2 linked regions of the Pelodiscus sinensis genome follow. The protein of the gene in region 2 interacts with the protein of the main gene of each other region in a pairwise test. Links are inferred from orthologs where the notes say so. Each region holds a gene or a part of one and is shown on either strand. Other genes may lie near its edges. The genes, in order: NFYB and DRAP1.

Evidence for each region.
Region 1: the proteins of DRAP1 (region 2) and NFYB interact in binary tests that used the Homo sapiens proteins (3 or more experiments, as listed by UniProt). The two-hybrid records come from large-scale screens. The link is inferred for Pelodiscus sinensis from reciprocal best matches to the Homo sapiens genes DRAP1 and NFYB.

The regions. Positions count from the first base shown.
Region 1 is NC_134711.1:98,179,642-98,188,858, reverse strand, and holds the start of NFYB (nuclear transcription factor Y subunit beta), read right to left. Parts: upstream 5,234-9,217; 5' UTR 4,474-5,233; intron 1-4,473. UniProt on the Homo sapiens protein: Component of the sequence-specific heterotrimeric transcription factor (NF-Y) which specifically recognizes a 5'-CCAAT-3' box motif found in the promoters of its target genes.
Region 2 is NC_134721.1:32,598,142-32,607,358, reverse strand, and holds the start of DRAP1 (dr1-associated corepressor), read left to right. Parts: upstream 1-3,408; 5' UTR 3,409-3,530; coding exon 3,531-3,572; intron 3,573-8,513; coding exon 8,514-8,586; intron 8,587-9,014; coding exon 9,015-9,108; intron 9,109-9,217. Other genes in the region: C11H11orf68 (UPF0696 protein C11orf68 homolog), read right to left, coding at 1-692. UniProt on the Homo sapiens protein: The association of the DR1/DRAP1 heterodimer with TBP results in a functional repression of both activated and basal transcription of class II genes.

The sequences.
Region 1 (9,217 bases), on a different chromosome or scaffold from region 2:
TTCAAAACTGTACTAAATGAGACTCTACAGTTATAATAGGGATGTTAGAAATCTTTGCGGTTACACAGCTATTTGATAGTCCCTGGAGGCGGGGCAAGTAGCCAGTGAGCTCCTAGCCCCACTCCTGGAGAGACCCCGGCACACTGCACTGCTATCAGAGGCAGCAGCATGGGGTGGCAGCAGCCTCTGTTCATGGGAGGTCCAAGCTCCTTGCAGACAGAGGGTGCTGCAATGTAGGGGGAGGGAGGAAAGGAGGCAGGGGAAACTGCTGCAAAACAGCTGGTATGGCAGCAGCCGCTGTCTGTGGGGGTTGTCCCCAGCTCCCTGAGGACAGAGGCTGCTCAGTTCAGAACATCTCAGTATCATAAAAATTTAAATGGGATATAGGATTTACTTAGAAGGAAAGAGTAAGGAATATTTGTGGCTTGGCTCACTGACAACTACAAAAGGACATAAGCCTATGTTTTTGAGAAGTGTGAATACCGAAGAAAGAAGAAATTTAGCACAGTACAATACATAGTGCATAACTAAGAAAAACAGGAAATTAAAATGTTGCCTTAAGAACAGGGGAACTCCCCAAAAGTATGATTTGTAAAACTGGAATGATCTCCCACGGAAAGTTAAGTAGCAAGCCTTGAATGACACATTTAAAACTAAACTAGAAAAAAAAGCCCCACTAATATAGGCAATAGTCCTGCACAGGCAGAGAATGGACTAGAATGAGTTTCTTGAGCTTTCTCTATCCTCTTCAGTTGCTGCATTAATTTAACTCGAATCCTGAGGTTTCCCCTTTATCTTTATTCATTGAATTGTGAAGACCGTTAAGTCTTAGTAATATAACCACTAGGCAAGAGCTTGAATAATTTACTCCATCAATTTAAAAAAAGGAAACTGCCTTTTGCAAACACCACCTCAATGAGCATGTATGGGATGGAAAAAGAATTATTCCATCATTTCTACAGAATTGCTTTTATTAAAAATGTTTGAAGTCTTTATATGTTTGCAACCTGTGAATGGAGGCCCTGTATTCTTCCTGCATCTGAAGCATCTCTAGTCTTTTGGGGTTTGTCTACACTGCACGGCTATTTCAGGATGTAGCTACCCTGTGTCTTAACAAGCTGCCTGATATTTCAAAATATTTTTCAAAATAACAGGCGTGCTATTTTGCCATCCCGATAACACTCATTCCTCGAGGGCTAAGGGATGTCTCAAAAAGGCACAGTATTTCAAAATTTGGTACTGTAAAGATGCACCAAATTTCAAAATAAGCTATTTTTAAGTAAGATACGCAAATTGCGTATCAGAGGCAGTAAGGGCGGGAGGAGGCAGAAGCCAGTGTAGTTGGCTCCCCACAAGCCCCAGATCCTGTGAATCTGCTCCCCCGCCCCCCGGCTCTCTCAAGAGGCAGCAGCGCAGGTGTGGGCAAGTGGGAGCTGATTCGCAAGGGGAGCCAGCTGGTTCCCTGTGCATGCCTGCTCTGTGGAGCTGCCTGCTTCCCCTCAAGAGAGAGGGAGGGAACATGTAAGGACCCAGTGCTTGGGTTAGCTGGTTTAAACGCTGGCTCCCCCTGAGCACTGGCTTTGTGGAGCTGCCTCTCTCCTGCACTGCTGCCTGTGTATCAGAGGCGGAGGGGGAGGGGGGGGGAAAAGGAGAGGGGGGAGGAGCAGGATGCCAGCGCAGCCTCTGTCCGTGGTAGGTCCTTGCTCGCTGTGGACAGAGGCTGCTTCGTGGGATGGCAGAGCAGCTTCTGTTTGCAGGGAGCTCAGCGCCCCACCCCAGGCAGCTTTTGCTGTATCAGAGGCAGCAGCATAGGGGGCAGGTGGCTCGAGCACACTGGCTGCCACCCCCATCCCCGGGGACTATTGAATAATCATGTAACTGCTCAGATTTGGGGCAGTTACGTGATTATTAAATTAATCGATAGCTAACATCCCTATTCCCAATGGCTTTCAACCTATTTACCACCGTGAGCCACATTTACAGCTCTGCGTTTCATGAACTGCATCCACACAATATATATGGCTATATGGCCCTCAGAGCCACTGGTATAAGCTCACCCACCTTATTCATTAAACACGTTCTAACAGAAGCCCCTTATGTCCGTTAATTTATACACTAGCATGGTTACAGATGGAGGGGCCCTAACATAAATTTGTTGTTTTTGTTTCAACAGTGACTAAGCCAAGCAGCTTATTAGGAGAGTGATGGGGGGGTGGGGTCATCACCAGAGAGAATCATACACAGCTTCAATGATTTCTCTTGGGCATTTTGTTTTTTGGATTTTTTTTGGTAGGGAAGGCAGGAGAGGGAGAAGAGATGTGAACTGGAAAGAATCAGAGCTTATACAGGCTATTTAAAAAGGTTATACATTTCTACTGCCTTTGCAGAGACAAAGAAGCAGTGCTCAAGAGGAGGCAACAGCAGCAGGTCTCCGTCCTATTCATTCCATCAGCACAAGAATGGAGACAGTTTATTAACTGAATGACGTGAAAACATTTTATTTTAAGAACTGTCCTAGTACCTTTACTTAAAACATATTTTTCATTTTATATTGTGATCTGTTTTTTGGCTCTTCCCACATAAATTAGTTATAATTTTAAGCCAGAGCAGAGGCTATTTGTCCTTCCTTTAGATTTAAAAATATTTGTTACACTTATTAAAAAGTTTATTCACCTCAAGCAAAGACTAATTCAAGATAATTTTCAGCAAATACCAAATATGATATTCAGTTTAATTTTAACAATGGGGCTAATACATTTTAATGAACTCTAATTAGTAAATAACTTTCATCTATTTTACCTAGCACTAATCCTAAGCAGATAGACTTTCGAAATATCACAGTTACAACAGGTAATTAAAAATGAACAGTCTAAATAATGCAACCAGCTCACTGCTTAAATCATAAAAAGTTTCAGAACTCATACTAACCAATTAATTTTAAAATTAAATGAAAATTAGATTAGTAATTCTTCCTTTTAAAATCCTAATTAAAACAGTTATATTGTCTTTAATAAAGGAAAAGACTCAAACAATTTCTGTTTCATAGCCCACATCTCCTTAGAGTCCTGTTGCCAGTTGGCCATGTAGAATAACTTCCCCTATCCACAATCAGCCTCCTCTATCGCTGGCAAACAGATATAATTTATATGGCAATGACTGCCATTGATATTGAAGGGTAACACTAGGATATTTATTTTTAGCTATTTTTTAGTACAGTTAGCAGCTCAAAATGCCAGTCATCAGCACTACAATAAGCAGACAGCTCTCTCCAAACCATCGAGTGGTTGATATACCAGGTTGGGAACTAATGATTTAGGATCAGTTCATCCTGGATTTTCCTGATTACAAGTTTTCCATACAGAAGGGATAATATGTGATATAGCAGAGTTTTTCTGGCACAGCGATGAAGTGTACATGAAATTCATTCTAACAAGTTGCACATGAATCCAGTTCTTGCATGGATAACTATTCTGTGGGTAATACCCTGAGCTGCTCTTTCCATTTTGCTACTGATTCTTTTGTCAGAAAAGGTGAAGTAAGCAAGCTAGCTTTAAACAAAACAAAACCAACCACCACAACACACCATGCTACATTCTGCATCCCAATTAACTTTGAAAAGTTCATTCTGAATAAAATAAGACATTCAAGGATGAAGGGCAGCTTAATTTATCAGATCATCATATAACAGAATACCCTCACTGAATCTAGACAACCCTGCCACATAGCAAGGGCTTGCATTTAAGTGCAACTTGGCTGCAAAAGAGGGCAATAATAGAAACTTTTTAAAAAGTAGCCCTGTGGCACTTTAGAAACTAACAAAAATATACAATATCATGAGCGTTCATGGATAAAAAAATTGGTGCAGTTTTACACTTTTGGAGTGGTCTGCAAAATTTACAAGCTTGACAAGTCATATACAGTACTAGTTTTTGATGTTTTATTGGACCTTTATGGGTTTTTCCTCCAACTTATTCTCAAGGCAGTCTATAGAACTTTGCTTTTTCTCACAAACAGAAGTTAGTCCAATAAAAGATATTCCCTCACCCACCTTGTCAATTAAAAAAAATCAAATCTAGGTTAGTCAACTTTTGTTATTGGTTACTTTTGCATGGCTCTCAGATTTATCAGCCTAATAAATTTCACTACCTTCTAATGCAATTGAACAGTGTGTGCCTAAGTGATAAACACAAAAGGGAAATCTTTACATTTAAATAAGCTTTATGAAGTAAATATCATGAAAATATTGCAAGTTTTGTAAGGCACTAAATGCATCCACAGCCAAAATCCCCTAAAGTTTAAGCTCCAATGGGCTTCACAAGACACCCTTTCTTGTCTACTGATTTACATCAAGTTTCCGAAAATTACAAAAGTTTATTTTTATCAGTTTGTTCAAAAGTCTCAATTAGCACTGAAATGACTAGTTCTGGAAGGCACATCTCTAGGATTGGAAAGGCCGCTCTTCTCACCACTTACTTTCTGATCCTAAGGGTAAGGTTTGCCAGCAGACTCAAGATACCATCCTTTGGTCTATGAAGTTATGCATGTGTATAAAAATAGAGCGAGAATAAACCCGATTATTTCCTCTCTAAAATAGAAGCCACTGCCTCCCTACTGGAGAATCTGAAGCGCCTGTCCGGTTACTCAGACTCCCACCACATCCTGGGGGGAGTTAGGGCCTCACTCTAAAGCTCCTTGAAGACTTCCAAGGGATCTGGGCCGGGGAGAGGACTGCCAGGTTAGCGCCAGCGAGGAGCCGGGTTGTCCTAGCGCTGACCCCAGGCTCACGGAGATGCTGCACCAGCCTCCCAGCCACGAGTCCAGGAAGGCGGCCGAGGGGGCTCGGACACCAGCAGGGGGGAGGCGGAGGAGCCCGGGGATGGGCAGGAAAGGTCGCCCCCTCCCCCTGCCTGAAGCCCCACGGGCGGCCCCCATCCCGCAGTCCCACGCCGCGCTGCTCTAGGGCAAAGGGGCCGCGGCGTCTGATTTAAGGGGGAGGGGGGGGAATCCCCGCGCCCAACCCGCTGCGGCCAGGGAGCCCGGAGGCGACCGTGGGGGCGCAAGGGCCCTGCCCCGCGTGTGGCCGGGCGGGCGCAGCTCCCGCCGCCCGAGCCCACAAAATGGAGCCGGAGCTGGGGCCGCGGTGCCCAGCCCGGCGGGGGGGAGGGAAAGTGGGGGCGGGGGGGGGGCGCTCCGGCCCCATCTCCCCCCAGCCGCCTGTCGCTGCTCCGGCCGCACAAAGAGGCGAGCGGGCGCTGGCGGGGCCCGGGCTCCGCTCCCCACTTCCTGGTGCCCTGGGCGGCGGCGCGGCGGCGGCGCCGGGGCCCGGGGAGGGAGACGGACATTTCATTCGAGCCTGCAGTGGAACCGGTTACCAATCATTGGCCGGAGCCAGGCACAAACCTCCAGTGCGGCCCTGGTTGGCTCCCTCCGCAAATCGGCTGTTTGGTTGGACAGAAAATGGCTGCGAAGGAACCAGTCCCAGCGCGGAGCCCCGCTTCCCGCAGCCGGCCTGCCCTCCCTCCGCGCCGCCTCCCGCCCCCGCCCCGCCACTCGCGGCTCTTCCCGCCGCACGGACTCCCTCCCGCCGCCGCCGCCGCCGCCGCCTTTATACGCTGGGCCCCCAGCGAAGCTTGTGGGGTCCTCTTAGACACGCTGCCCCCCCACACACACACTCTCTCCAATAGGGGCTGGAAGTAGGGGTGCTGGCTTGCAGTGCTGTCCATTATACACAGGGCTTACAGTTTGGTTCACTGTCCGGGCCCAGAGGAAGAATTGGGGCGTCTGTTCCAAGCTAGGGATGTTACATTTCGATTTCATAACTAATGCAATAGGGATTTCCATGGACTATTCCATTAGTTGAGAAGAACTTCTGTGGTCTGCCTTTGAAATGTACAGGAACCCCAGTGGGGGGGCTCTTGTGCATTTGAAAGCAGAAGCACCCACAAGGATTCCCTGCTGGCCCTGGGGCTCCAGGTGCCAGCTTTGAAATGTACAAGAGCCTCAGGGAGACTCTTGTACATTTCCAAGTTGGCCACTGCTGCACTCCTGCCCCCTCCCATAGAGCTGGTGCGGGGGAAACCAGCTTTTAAGATGGCTCCCTCCAGCACCTCCTCTTCTCCCCCCTTGCTGCCTCTTTGTGATAGAGGCAGCAAGTAGGGGGGAAGGGATTAGTTGACTTGTGTGCTTTTGCTTATCGGATAGTCGATTAGTTGCTTACATCTATCCCAAGCCCTGCAATTTTGGGGGTCCCACAGTGGCTGCCCCAACCATCCTATGAATGGTAAGGATCTGGGGGATTACAGAGGCCTGTAGTCAGGGGTCACCCACCTACACATACACTCACCACACAGGCGACACTGGGAAGCAGGGAGCCCCAGCCCTAGGGTGCTCCACTTCCCGGTGCCACAGAGAAGCAGGGCGCAACAAGTTGAAAGAGGGCAGCACAGAGGCAGGTGGGGGGCAGAGTAGACTGCTGGGCAGCTCCAGCTTCTGCTGCCTGCATGGTGAAGGGGAGGTGAGGGCAGCATCATTTGGACAAGTAGGTTGGGGGGGAAAGACAGGGCAGGGGCAGAGCAAGGGCAGGGAGAGGCAGAGGCTGAGGTGGAGCAGGATTGTCCCAGCCCTTTCCCAAGGTAGGGGGATCAGTTATGTGGCCAGTGGCTCTCCTTACCAGTCACCCCTACTCAGCACCCTCACTATACAAATTGTTCCAGCACCACTTCTCACCTCAGACTGGGGTTGCTCTAATAGGGGATTTCAGTGGGGGCAGAGGAAGTAAACCCTATTCAGCTCTCCTTTCTCCACTATGGGGGCTTTCTGATAGCGGGTTTCATGATTAGAGGCAATAAGGTAGGTTCTATATTGTCTCTCCCTACCACCATTTATACATAGATGTGGGACGTGTTTTGCAAGTATTATTGAAACAGTCAATAATTTTACAGCACTTGGGAATGTATTTTTCCTCTTTATTTATTTTGAAGTTGTTTTATCACTTGGTATATATTGCTGTTAGGACACACTATTAACCTTGTTCTGCAGCCTTAAGACCTTTGTGTGGGTTCTGTCACCGCAATCAGGAATTTCATAAATAAATCAGTAAGCATCGCACACATTGACTCAGATACAGAGTTTCTCAAATCTTTGATACTAAAGTTAGGACCAGATTTCACTACCCGTTAAGTCAATAGTAAAACTCACTTTAACTTCAATGGGAACAGGATTGGGACTTGAGACATGTACATTATGAACAAGTCACAGCAGGAAAGCTTCAGTGAGGAAGTAGTTAGTTATAAAATGAATGATATTGAAAGAATACAGTGCTTTAAAAGACAGTCCAAACATTTTTTTACTTTGAACTTGGAAATATTTGTGGATGAAATCCTACTGTCTTTTAAAAAGTACTACACTATTCTGTTGAAATGAGCCAAAGCTTTTTCCAGAGCACAATGGGAAAAGTACAATGTTTTGTACCAGTAATACAGCATATCTCTCTCTCTCTCACACACACACACACAGAATTTAGGAAATGCCACACATTTGCCTCTGCAATTTTAATTTATTCCCATTTTGTTCATGCACTATGATACATCTTTTAATTACAAAATCACATACTGTTTTTCCATAGGAATCATGTCTCAGTCAGTGCCAGGATTAGCTTAATAAGAAGTTGTGATGTTACTGGATTTTTGATGTGAACATACAGAATATTTTTACCCCCGCAGTGTGCTCCAAATTTTGTATCAAAGCAGGTCAAGTGAGGTGTCTATTGAAAGTTTATATTTTGTGATTCTGTTTATACTATTCATATGTGTGTATGATTTTTATATGTGAAGTTATAAGTTTTGGCTATGTACTTGTATTTTAAATGTTTGCTTCTGAGAGATATTAGCAGGAGTCTCCCACCTATTGTGAAAGTGCATATAGTCAAGTGAATATGAACAATGAACCATAAATGTGGCCAATACACAACTGAGGAATTCTGCTGTAAATTTGCAGTCAAGCAGGTAGGCAGCTTGCCTAAAAAGGACACGGACAGGTGACTTGCTCTTGTGACCAGGGGTGGATTAAGGCATTGGCTAGCCGGGCAGCTGCCTGGGGCGCCAGCCTATGGGGGGCACCTGATGTCAGCTGTAAGGGACATGCAGCGCCCCTTATAGCTGCCATCAGGCGCCGCACGCCTGGCTCCTGGATCGTGGGCTGCAGCAGCTCCCAGCAGCCACCCTGCAGCGGTCGCCTGGGGCGGGGGCTGCGTTAACCCCCGCAGCGCCGGCCAGCAGCGCCCTTCTCCCGCGCCTGTGGGGCCCTGCACGGCCAGGCTCGCCCTGCCCCAGGTGGCCCCAGGCTGCACGCCAGCGGCACATGCATCCTGCCGCCGCCAGCTCTGTGCATTCTCCCCCATGTGCCGAGCAGAGGCGGGGCTGTGCATGTGCCCTCCACCCCGTGCTGATGCAGGGGTGGGGCTGCGCATGCGCCCTCCCCCAACCTGGGGCGCAATTAAACTGTCTGCCCGGGGCGCTGGAATGGCTTGGTCCAGCCCTGCATGTGACAAACTCAGTTTTGTGAAGTACCTTCACACAGCAAGAACAGTGGAATTCTCTCCACATGGGCAAGATTATAAAACCTAGAGGTTCATCCATCCACCTTTGTCTTCATTCCAGCTCAACATTTCAGAAGCATCTTTGCTATGACCAAAGGGCCCAGAACAACTGATGACCATCCTGACAAAGAATGTACTCCAGAGACTTTTGAGATAACAGTTTATTCCATCTCTGCTAAAAGCCTGAACCAGGAACTTTGTAATGGGTGTATATAAAATTTCTTTTAACAATTTTATTCTCAACTTTTTCTTTCTTTTATTAATATACCTCTAGATTTTAGATTCTAAAGGATTGGCACAGTGAAGATCTAAGGTATAAATTGACCTGGGAATGTGCCTGGTCTTTTCGGATTAGAAGAACCTGTTTGGATTTGGTGAGATTTGTTTTCATAACCTCTTATCCATGTAATGTGTGGTACTGGTTGTGTCACAGGAAAAGCTGGAGTGTCTAAGGGGATTGCTTAAGTGACTTCTTGCTGGCCAGTGTGGCAAGCAGAAGTGCTCTTTGTGACTGTGTTGGTGTGCCCTACAGTCTTGGGCTGTAAGTAGCCCTGTTTCTAAGCAATTTGCCCTGAGTTGTCCTCTCAGCTGTGTTCCCAGAAACCATTGTATTATAGAAGT
Region 2 (9,217 bases):
GGGATGCACTCTAAGTCGAACTTGCTCTCATAGATGGTGGGGCAGAGGTGCCAGCGATTGTCCCGGTAGATGCCTAGATAGGTATAGACATCAGGCTTGTAAGAGAGCAGGCACTTGACGCCGGTTCCCCGGATGGCAGCATCCGCATCCATCACTTTCTCCTCGTCAGTGAAATCATCTGTGTAGATGCAGATGACATGCTTGCGGTCCGAGCTAGGATAGCAGGGGCTGACCTTGGCCACCCCAAAGCGCCCCTCCAGCACTGAGCGGGCGATGCCACTCCAGGCATGGTCCACTTTGAAGCCAGTGTCCAGGTGCATCAACCACTTGCCAGTGAGGACACGGTGGTTGAGTGCCAGCTCACGGATAGTGTTGAAGGTGACATGGCGCCCACTGATCTGAAGCCGCTCCCAAGCCTCCTGCAGCCCCACCACGTCACCTGACTCTGGGCAGTAATTTGGGCCATAGATGGCAATCCAGCCCACAGGCTCAGTGCGGTGCTCAGGATCTCCAAAGCGAGACACCCGTGAGGGCTGATAGGTCTGCAGCCACTCCTCAAACTCAGCCCGGGGGGTCTTTCGGGCATCAAACACCAGCCAGGGGTCCATGTCAGCTGCCATGGACTCAGCGGCCAGGTGCTCGGCCGAGAAGGCCCCTTCCTTTCCTGCATCCCCATCATCCTGGTCTGACATCACTCACTGGCCTCTGAAGGAGAAGAACCTAGGATGGAAGGGTCAAGGAGATGGGAAGCAAAATTATGAAGCACCATCTAATCCAATCTCCACAGCAGAGCCCAGGATACACTCAGCTGCTAGTGTCCATCCCTGAGTACCCTACCCAGTAATAACAGAGATTCCTCTACATCAGTGTTTCCCAACCTATGGGTCAGGACCCAAATATGGGTTGCCATTACATTTCAAAAGGGTCGCCAAGTGTCTTCGCAGGTGGCTCTGCCCCCTCGCCTCCCCCTGTTCTTGAATTGCCTTGGGTCACCAAGTATTCCTGAATTGTCAAAAGGGGTCTCCATCTGGAAGAGGTTGGGAACTGCTGCTCTACATCCATTAGTACTCCAGTCTTCTACAGGACTCTGGCCACTGTGGATGGAACCCCCATTACCTCCCATGTCCCCAATGCAGGACTATGCCCTGTAGCCCATCCCATTGTCCTCTGTTGATTGAGGCACCCAATTAGTTCCCATACACAAACCAGAATAATTTACCTGCTGCTCATGGGCTGCCGGAGAAGTGAACACAATGCAGGATAGGTATTCAAACGCAAGATGAACGATCAGGGCTGAGAATGAGCAACGCTAACATAAAGACCACATGGAAATTCAACTGAGGATTTATCTGTTGCTCTTGGCAGGCTGCCTACTGTACGCACCCCACAAAGATGCTGCCTTGACTTTCCTATTAGAGAAAAATCAGGTTTCACTGTGGATAAAGAGCAGAGAACACTAAATGATCCAGGGAGCCCACAAACACGCCTATGCCGAGGGGTATAAACTTAAGATCCCCTGACAGTGTCTTTTAAACTTCTCCTAGACCAGCTGGACTCAGCTGCTTCCATACTGGGACCCTTCCCCATATAGCACAGCGAGAGCACAACGCTTTCACTACACACCCCCTCATCTACAGAGACGAGCAGCATCCAGTCCCTTGCCACAGCACAACATCGGTTAGAGGATCAGGACTCGGCTACCCTGGGAGATGCTGCTGGGGGCACCGAGCGGGACACGCGGCTTCAGGAAGCGACTCGGGGAGTTCGTTTCATTAACCATCTCGCAGACGGGACCATGTGAAACGCCGAAAGGGGGCGGGACTCGCCCTGCAGCCGGCCCGAAGCACAGCTGGGAAAGACACCAGGAGTCTCCCCGCCGCCCCCAAGAGCCGGGGAAAGGACCCAGCCCCCCGCTGCCCAGCCCCCAACTGGGAACGAGACGGGCCATGCCCCCGGCTGCACGGGGAGGAACCATCTGCGCGCGGGCCGGGCCTAACGCCCGCGGGTCCCTCCACGCCCCCTAGCGCCTCTGACCCCGGGCGGGGCCCACCCCGAGACAGCTCCGCAAGCGCCCGCTCCGCGCTCACCCTCACCAGCCCCCTCCCGCGCTCAGCTCCCGGCCGGCCCCATCCTGCGGCGCGCTGCGCTCCGCCCACGCGACGGATAACGGCCACTGGGGCGGGGCCTCGGCCTCACCCGGATGTGGAAACGCGCGGAGCCGGGATGTGGGAAGGCTGAAGCTTGAGTGGGCGGGGCTAGAGAGCGAAAGAGGGTGGGAGGGGCCTAAAAGCCACCAATCCACTCAAGCCCCGCCCCTCGGCCGGTGACTGTGTCTCCAGCCCAGGCGTTCCGGTGTCTCTGGGCGTGGGAAGTTTCGTGGGGCCTGGCTCCTGCCAGGAAGCTGCAGCTGGTGTTGCGGTGGCCCCTGTCAGAAAGTGGAGCACGGCCTCCCCGAGCCAGTGGCGGGCCCGTAGTGTGACCCTGAGCCGTGTTCTGGGGGGTAATGGGTGTCCAGGACGGGTAGGAATGGTGTCTCTAGCCTCTGTTGGTCAGGGGTTGGAAATGGACGACCGGAGAGGGATCACTTGATGACTCCCTGTTCTGTTCACTCCCGCTGGGGCATCTGGCATTGGCGGCTGTGGAAGACAGGACACTGGGCTAGATGGACCTTTGGTCTGACCCAGTATGGCCGTTCTTATGTCCAGTCCCCTCTGGTGTAGAGCACAGGGGCCCTGGCCCCCTCACCCGGTGATGAAATAGATCCACTTCTAGGATGGGCACAGGGGCTGTTGCTACAGAGCTCCCTGGCCCAGCTTTCAGATGTAGCAAGGGAGGGCCCATGGCTGCGAGGGGGGGAAACAACCAAGGACGCTAGTGCACAAGCACTCCCTCTGCCATCCGTAGTGCAAGGAAGACCTCAAACCCCTGGAGGGTGATCTGCATATAACTCAATCTATGGGCTTAGGGAGAGGGGGTAGCCTGAGACCCTCCATAAGGCAATGGGGAGGGCATAGGAACTTCACAGACCCCCATCTCTGGTACTGGGGGCTAACCTAGGACACCAGGGATCTTCCAGGAGTGGGGAGTAGCTGTAGAGCAGGCAATCCCAGGGAACTGTGACTCTTGGAGAGCATACCTGCTTTCTCTGGGGGTGCTGGGAGGGGGAGGCGGAAAAACAGGTGGAAGGCACCAGTGGGAAGGAGGTGGACAGAGCAGAGTTGCGGGCCCCACGTCCCGGTTCTGCGGGGAGGATGAGCCCGAGACAGGAACTGCTGTGAAGAGAGGGCGCCAGTGCGAGGGGCGGGGAGGGGGAGACGCAGGGTGGCGTTTGTGCTGGGGTGGCCCTGCGCTGAGTAGGGTGCTTTGGGGGGGAAGGGCAATGGATGAGCGCTGGCGTGTTCCGGCGGCGCTAGGACACTGGCGGCCGGGGCGGCGCAGGAGACGCAGGGAGCCGGAGGGGCGGGGCGGGGCGCAGTGGGGCGGGCTGGGGTCGCTGCTGCCGCTGCTGGAGTCTGAGCCTGAGCCCCGCGATGCCGAGCAAGAAAAAGAAATACAACGCGCGCTTCCCGCCGGTGAGTGCGGGCCGGCCCCGGGGCCTCCGCTAGCCCCCGGCCCGGCGTAGCGTCCCCAGGCCGGCCTGCTTGTCCCCCGGCACCCCGCCCTCCGGGCCGGCCGGCCCCCCCATGCCCCTTAACTCCTCGGGCCGTCCTTACCTTCTGTGTTGGCCTGGCTCCACCCGGCATCCTCCCTAAGCCCCCCCCAGCACCAGGCCGGCCTAGCCCCCCCTTCCTCCGATACCCCTTAACTCCCCCGGGTCAGTCTAGTCACCCTGACACCCAGCTCCCGGGCCACCTAGTCCCTTTTCTGATACCGCTTAACCCCCTGGGCCTGGCCTAGCCACTCCCCCATCTCCTTCTCCCTTATCTGCCCTCCACCCTTAACTCCCCTGAGCCCAGCCTAACTCCCTCCATGGGTTCCCCCTAACCCCACCCCGGTCTGTCTTCAGCCTACCACCTTCTCACACCCCCTTCCCCCCTCTCCAGATCTTCCAAAGTTCTGGACCCAGCCTAGGTCAGCCTGAGCCTCTGTGAATGCTGCATCCTCGTCCACACTGGCTTGTCTGACCTAGCTCCCTCCTTCCTCCCTGGAGTCCAGTCCACCAGGCCCAGTCTTCATCCCGCTGCCTCTGCCTCCCCTTACCCACCCCAAGCTAATATTGTCTTCCTCTATAGTGCTCACATAGAGATACTCCTGCAGCATCCTCTTTTATGTGCCCCTCATACTTTCATTATCCACTTCTCCCTGTAGTGCATGCCCACCTGCCCCACTCAAGACTTCCTTGCTCTCCCATAAGGATGTACCTGCTTCCCTCTATTTGGATCCCCTCTGTCCCATATTAAGGATTTAAGCATTGGGCAATTGACTAATTGGATAGTCGATGCATTTTTGCTACACTTCAAAAGCAAAAGCACCAAAGCCTGGGATCAGTGGGAGGACTCCCCTGATGATCCCGGGCTCCATGCAGCGCTGCCGCTTTGAAATGCTGCGAGGAGCCTCACATCAGGTTCCCTGTGGCATTCAAAGCAGCAGCAGCACCACATGGAGCAGCTGACCCGGGGCTCCGTGCAGCGCTGCCACTTTGAAGTACATCCTTCTTCCCCTCCCTTGCTGCAACTATCTGATACAGGCAGCAAGGGAGGCAGGGGGAAGCAACTAGTCCGCTATCCTGTCAACTATCCAATAAGCATTTCCTTATCGGATAGTCGACTAGTCCTTCACATCCCTACCCCATATAGAGTTTCCTTCCAATACTGCCCACTGCTAATCCCCAGAAGGATGCCCCTTCCCTCTGTAGCCCTCCATTTGAATCTTCCACCTCTTCAGGGATCCTAGGATAACTCCCTTCGTGAGGAAGCCTCATCTTCCCTCCCTGACCTCTTTGGTCAAGGCCCCCAACCATAAAAGGGCTCTACACACACACACACACACACACACACCCCTTAACCGTAATGAAACTTGGCCCCCGTTCAGAGGTTCTCTTCATGCACCCCCTCCTAAGGGATGATGAATCTCCCCCCAATCCTTTGGGACCCACAGCTCTGGTGGGCCAATGGGGGAGAATGTGTGGTTCAGGTTATTCTGTCTGGTGGGATTATGGTCTTTCAGATGAAGGGGACTCAAGTTTCCTGGATTCTATGCTTGGTTCTGGCTGGGGAGTGGGGTCTAGTGGGTTACAATAGGGATGGGGTTGGGGGGAGGAGCAGGCAGCGTGCACAAGAGCCAAAATTCCTGGGTTTTAGCCCCACCAGTTCCATCTATGCAGTCCTATTCAGGGTGGAAGGGACACTTCCCTCCGCTCTCCTTTCTATAAAATGAATTAATTCTGGACCTGCCTCTCCTGGGACACTACTGTAGTACCTGAGGGCTTCAGTGAAAAGGGGAAAGATTGTTTATTGATATGGCAGGAAGAAACTGCTACTGTATGAGAAGGGGATATATTTACTGATTGTATAGGTCTCCTTTCCCCATGGAATTCTCACCACAGTGTGCTCGCACCACAAAGCCCTCCTTTTCTATCTTTGTCACATCTTCCGAGTTGGGGTAGTATGGAAAATGAAAGCTGCCTGATCAATTTCACCTCTTCTCAGTTTCAGTTCCTCCTTTCTTATGTTGGGCTCCCTGATGCCAATTGGGGAACCTTCACCATCCTGACCACCACCACAAAATCACTGAAATCGGCATTACCATCCACAAGTGATTAAAAATCCTTCATCAGATCCTAAAAACATGATTTAAAAAAGAGACTCATTGGGAGGTGCAAGGGTTTTTTTTATTTGCCTTTTGCTCTGGTGGGAAGTAGGGATGTTAACTTTAGATTAATTGGCTAATTGAATAGCTGATGCAATTTGCATCGACTATTTGCTTAGTCAGTAAGGGCACCTCCGCCTTTGAAGTAGCAACAGCCCTAAAGTTGTTGCTACACTTCAAAGGCAAAAGTGTTGCAGGGAGCACGGGGCCAGGGGGGGACTCAAGCAGTCGCCCACTTGCCCCATACTCCCCATGACGTTTCAAAGCGGACGCACCTCCTGGAGCCCGGGGTCAGCTGGGGACTTGGAGTCCCCAGTTGACCCCGGGCTCCATGCAGCACTGCCACCTTGAAACACCAAAGGGAGCCTGGTCTCAGGCTCCATGAGGCATTTCAAAGCTCAGCGCCACTTGGAGCCTAAGGTCAGTGGGGGAGTCCCCAGCTGACCCCAGGCTCCACGCAGCGCTGCGGCTTTGAAGCACCCCCTCCTCTTCCCTCTCTCGCTTGCTGCCTATTTCTGATAGCAGCAGCAAGAGGGAGAGCAACTAGTCGACTAGTGTGTCGTCTATCGGATAAACATTTGCTTATTGGATAGTCGATTAGTCATTCACATCCCGGGTGAGAAGGACCTTTTAAGGGTCAAGATGTGATTCTATCTGCATCTCTTGAATCCACAAGCTGGGGATTTTAGAGTGAAGTTGACAGTAAGATTGTGAGAGCTGGCAGCACTGACTCTAGCTTCTATGCCCCTTTGGTTCCCAAAGCTAAAGCTCTGACTTTGTGGTTGGGGCACCAGGTGAAGTTGGAGATCTGGGTTCAGTGCCTGGCTGTACTACATGTTCTCCCTGTGACCTTGAGCAAGATATGTCTCTTGGTGCCTCAGTTTCCCCATCTGTAATAAAATTTTCTCTGTTTAAAGAGTGACTTCATAGGGCAATGACTGTCTCACTTTCAGTCTGTGAAGCACTTGGTGCAGCCAGGGCCCTGAATTTGGGCCAGGATCCATGCAGTGCCCAACATAATACGGGCCACAGTGTTGAGTTAGAGTCTGTGTGGTACGTGGCACAGTCGAGCCCCCCAGTCTCATGTCAGGCTCTGTGCAGAACTTGGCACGGCGGGGGGCCCCTAATCTTGGGTTGGGATCTGTGCATTGCCAGGCACAACAAAGGAGCTCCCAATCTCAGTTCAGAGTCTGTGCAGTACCTGGCATGCCAGAAAAGGCAAGGCTTGTGACTTAGCTTTGATCCTCGCTATTTTACACCTGGGTTGTGACAGCTGACACCTTATGCTTTGCCCCCTTAGCTGGATGCAGGCCCCCTGACATGAGGGTGAGGGGCAAAGGGGGCAATCGCCCCAGGGCCCAGTGACTCAAAGGAGCCCAGGGCTCCCAGCCACCGCTGCTGATACTGCAGCGACGTAAGCCCCAGGCCCTTGAAATCGCTGCTGGAACACTGCTCCGTGAGGCACTGAGGCCTGCTGGAGGCCCAACACCATGCATGTGGCACTGAGGACTTGCTGCCTCCAGCTCTGCCCCTTGTGGGGGCATGGAACTGGGTTCCCTGGAAGCTGTCGGCTCCCATGGCTGGGTGTAGGGGATTTTATTGCCCTGTGACATGGATACAAACATCCTTTGGTTTCAGCATGCTCCAGTCCAGTGGAGGAAAGTGTTGATTTGTGTCTGGAGGGGTGGGTGAGTTTGAACCCTAGCTTGCGAGGGGAGACGGGGGCCGCTGCTGTGTTGCTTAGGCACAGGGAGGGTTTCCAGAGCCATAACGGGCAGGAATAGCTCTCGGTGAGACTACCAGTGCCCTTGGAGCTTGGGCAAGCAAGGAAGGAGTTGACCTCTCAGCCTTGGCTGTCCCAAAGGACCTAGTCACCAAAGAAAGGAGCCAGTGACCCATGGAATCTCTGCTGGAGTGACCAGTTCCCCGGGGGCACAGCATGTGCTGATTGTTCTCAGTGAAGGGTGGCCTAGGGCAATGTTTCCCAATTGGTGCTCTGCAGAACCCTGGGGTTCCGAGAAATCAAAGTAAGGGTTCTGTGAGAACTCAGCACTCCCCGCCCCCTCTTAAAGAGACAGAGCCTTTTTGCGGCGGGGCACAGAGGGTCTTTTTTTTTTTTTCCTCAACAAATTTTACTCTGGCAACCCTAGGAGTTCCTTGAAATTCTTTCAAGCTGAAAAGGATTCTGTGGCCCAATAAAATTGGGAAACACTGGCCTAGAGAAAGGGTGGCAGCGTCATGCAGGAATTAAGAGGTGCATGGCACCTGTGTCTGGAGATCTAAAATCACTTGAGAGGAGTGGATGGGGCTAGTGGTTAGAGCAGAGAGCTTGCTTGCCAGGAATCCTAGGATCTATCCCAGCTCTGGGAAGGAAGGGGAGTCCAGTAGTTAGAGCACATGGCTGGGAATACACAAGAGCTGTACAAATCCAACCCTAGGTCTGGGCCTGGCTAATTCCAGGGGTAGGGAATAGAATCTGGGACCTTTTGCTGTTAGGGCAGCAGACAGGGCGGTTCAGGGGAACAGAGGATGAGATGTGGTCAGTGCCATGGCTGGGACTAGAAAGCCTTTCTCTTTATGGGGTGCTCTCTCTGGTCCACACAGTCATGGTCTTAGCATTAGTATTGATGGGAGTGGGGAGCCCTGAGGGCAGTTCATAAGACCCCATCCCTGATAGTAACTGTTTCCTTTCATCTCTCTCCCAGGCCCGGATCAAGAAGATCATGCAGACAGATGAGGAGATTGGGAAGGTGGCCGCTGCTGTTCCCGTCATTATATGTATCCTTGGGAGTGCTGTTGTGCTGAGCTCCCACTCCTGAACCCCAAATGCCACCTTGTGGTCTGGGCAGTCCTGGGGATCTCCCTCCCAGCCAGGCTTGGTTCATCATCCTAGAGGTTTCATTGTCCCAGCTAGTGGCTAATTACAGCAGCAGATTACACAAAGGATCAGAGGCAGCTTGTCTAGTGGTTAGAGCAGGGGGAGGCTGTGAGTTCTGAACTCCGGAGTTCTGTCTGAGCTCTGGGAGGAAAGTGGTGTTAGACCGGGGTCATGAGCGGGAGTGGGAGCCAGGTCTCCTGGATTCCATCCCCAGCTCTGGGAGGGGAGAAGAGCTATTGGGTCAGAGCAGGATGGGAGATGGCTGGGAGCCAGGACTCCTGGGTTCTGATCCCAGTGCTGAGTTCCCTTAACCCTTGGCTTGCCCTAGCCCGGGCGCTGGAGCTGTTCTTGGAGTCGCTCCTCAGGAAGGCCTGTCAGGTGACACAGTCCAGAAATGCCAAGACCATGACCACCTCCCACCTGTAAGTACCCCTTTCCACCTGTGCACCCCTCTTCTGCCCAGCTGGGGACTTTGTGACCCAACTCTTGCAGTACTGGAACAAAGAAATGCCAGATCTACTCCACAACCAG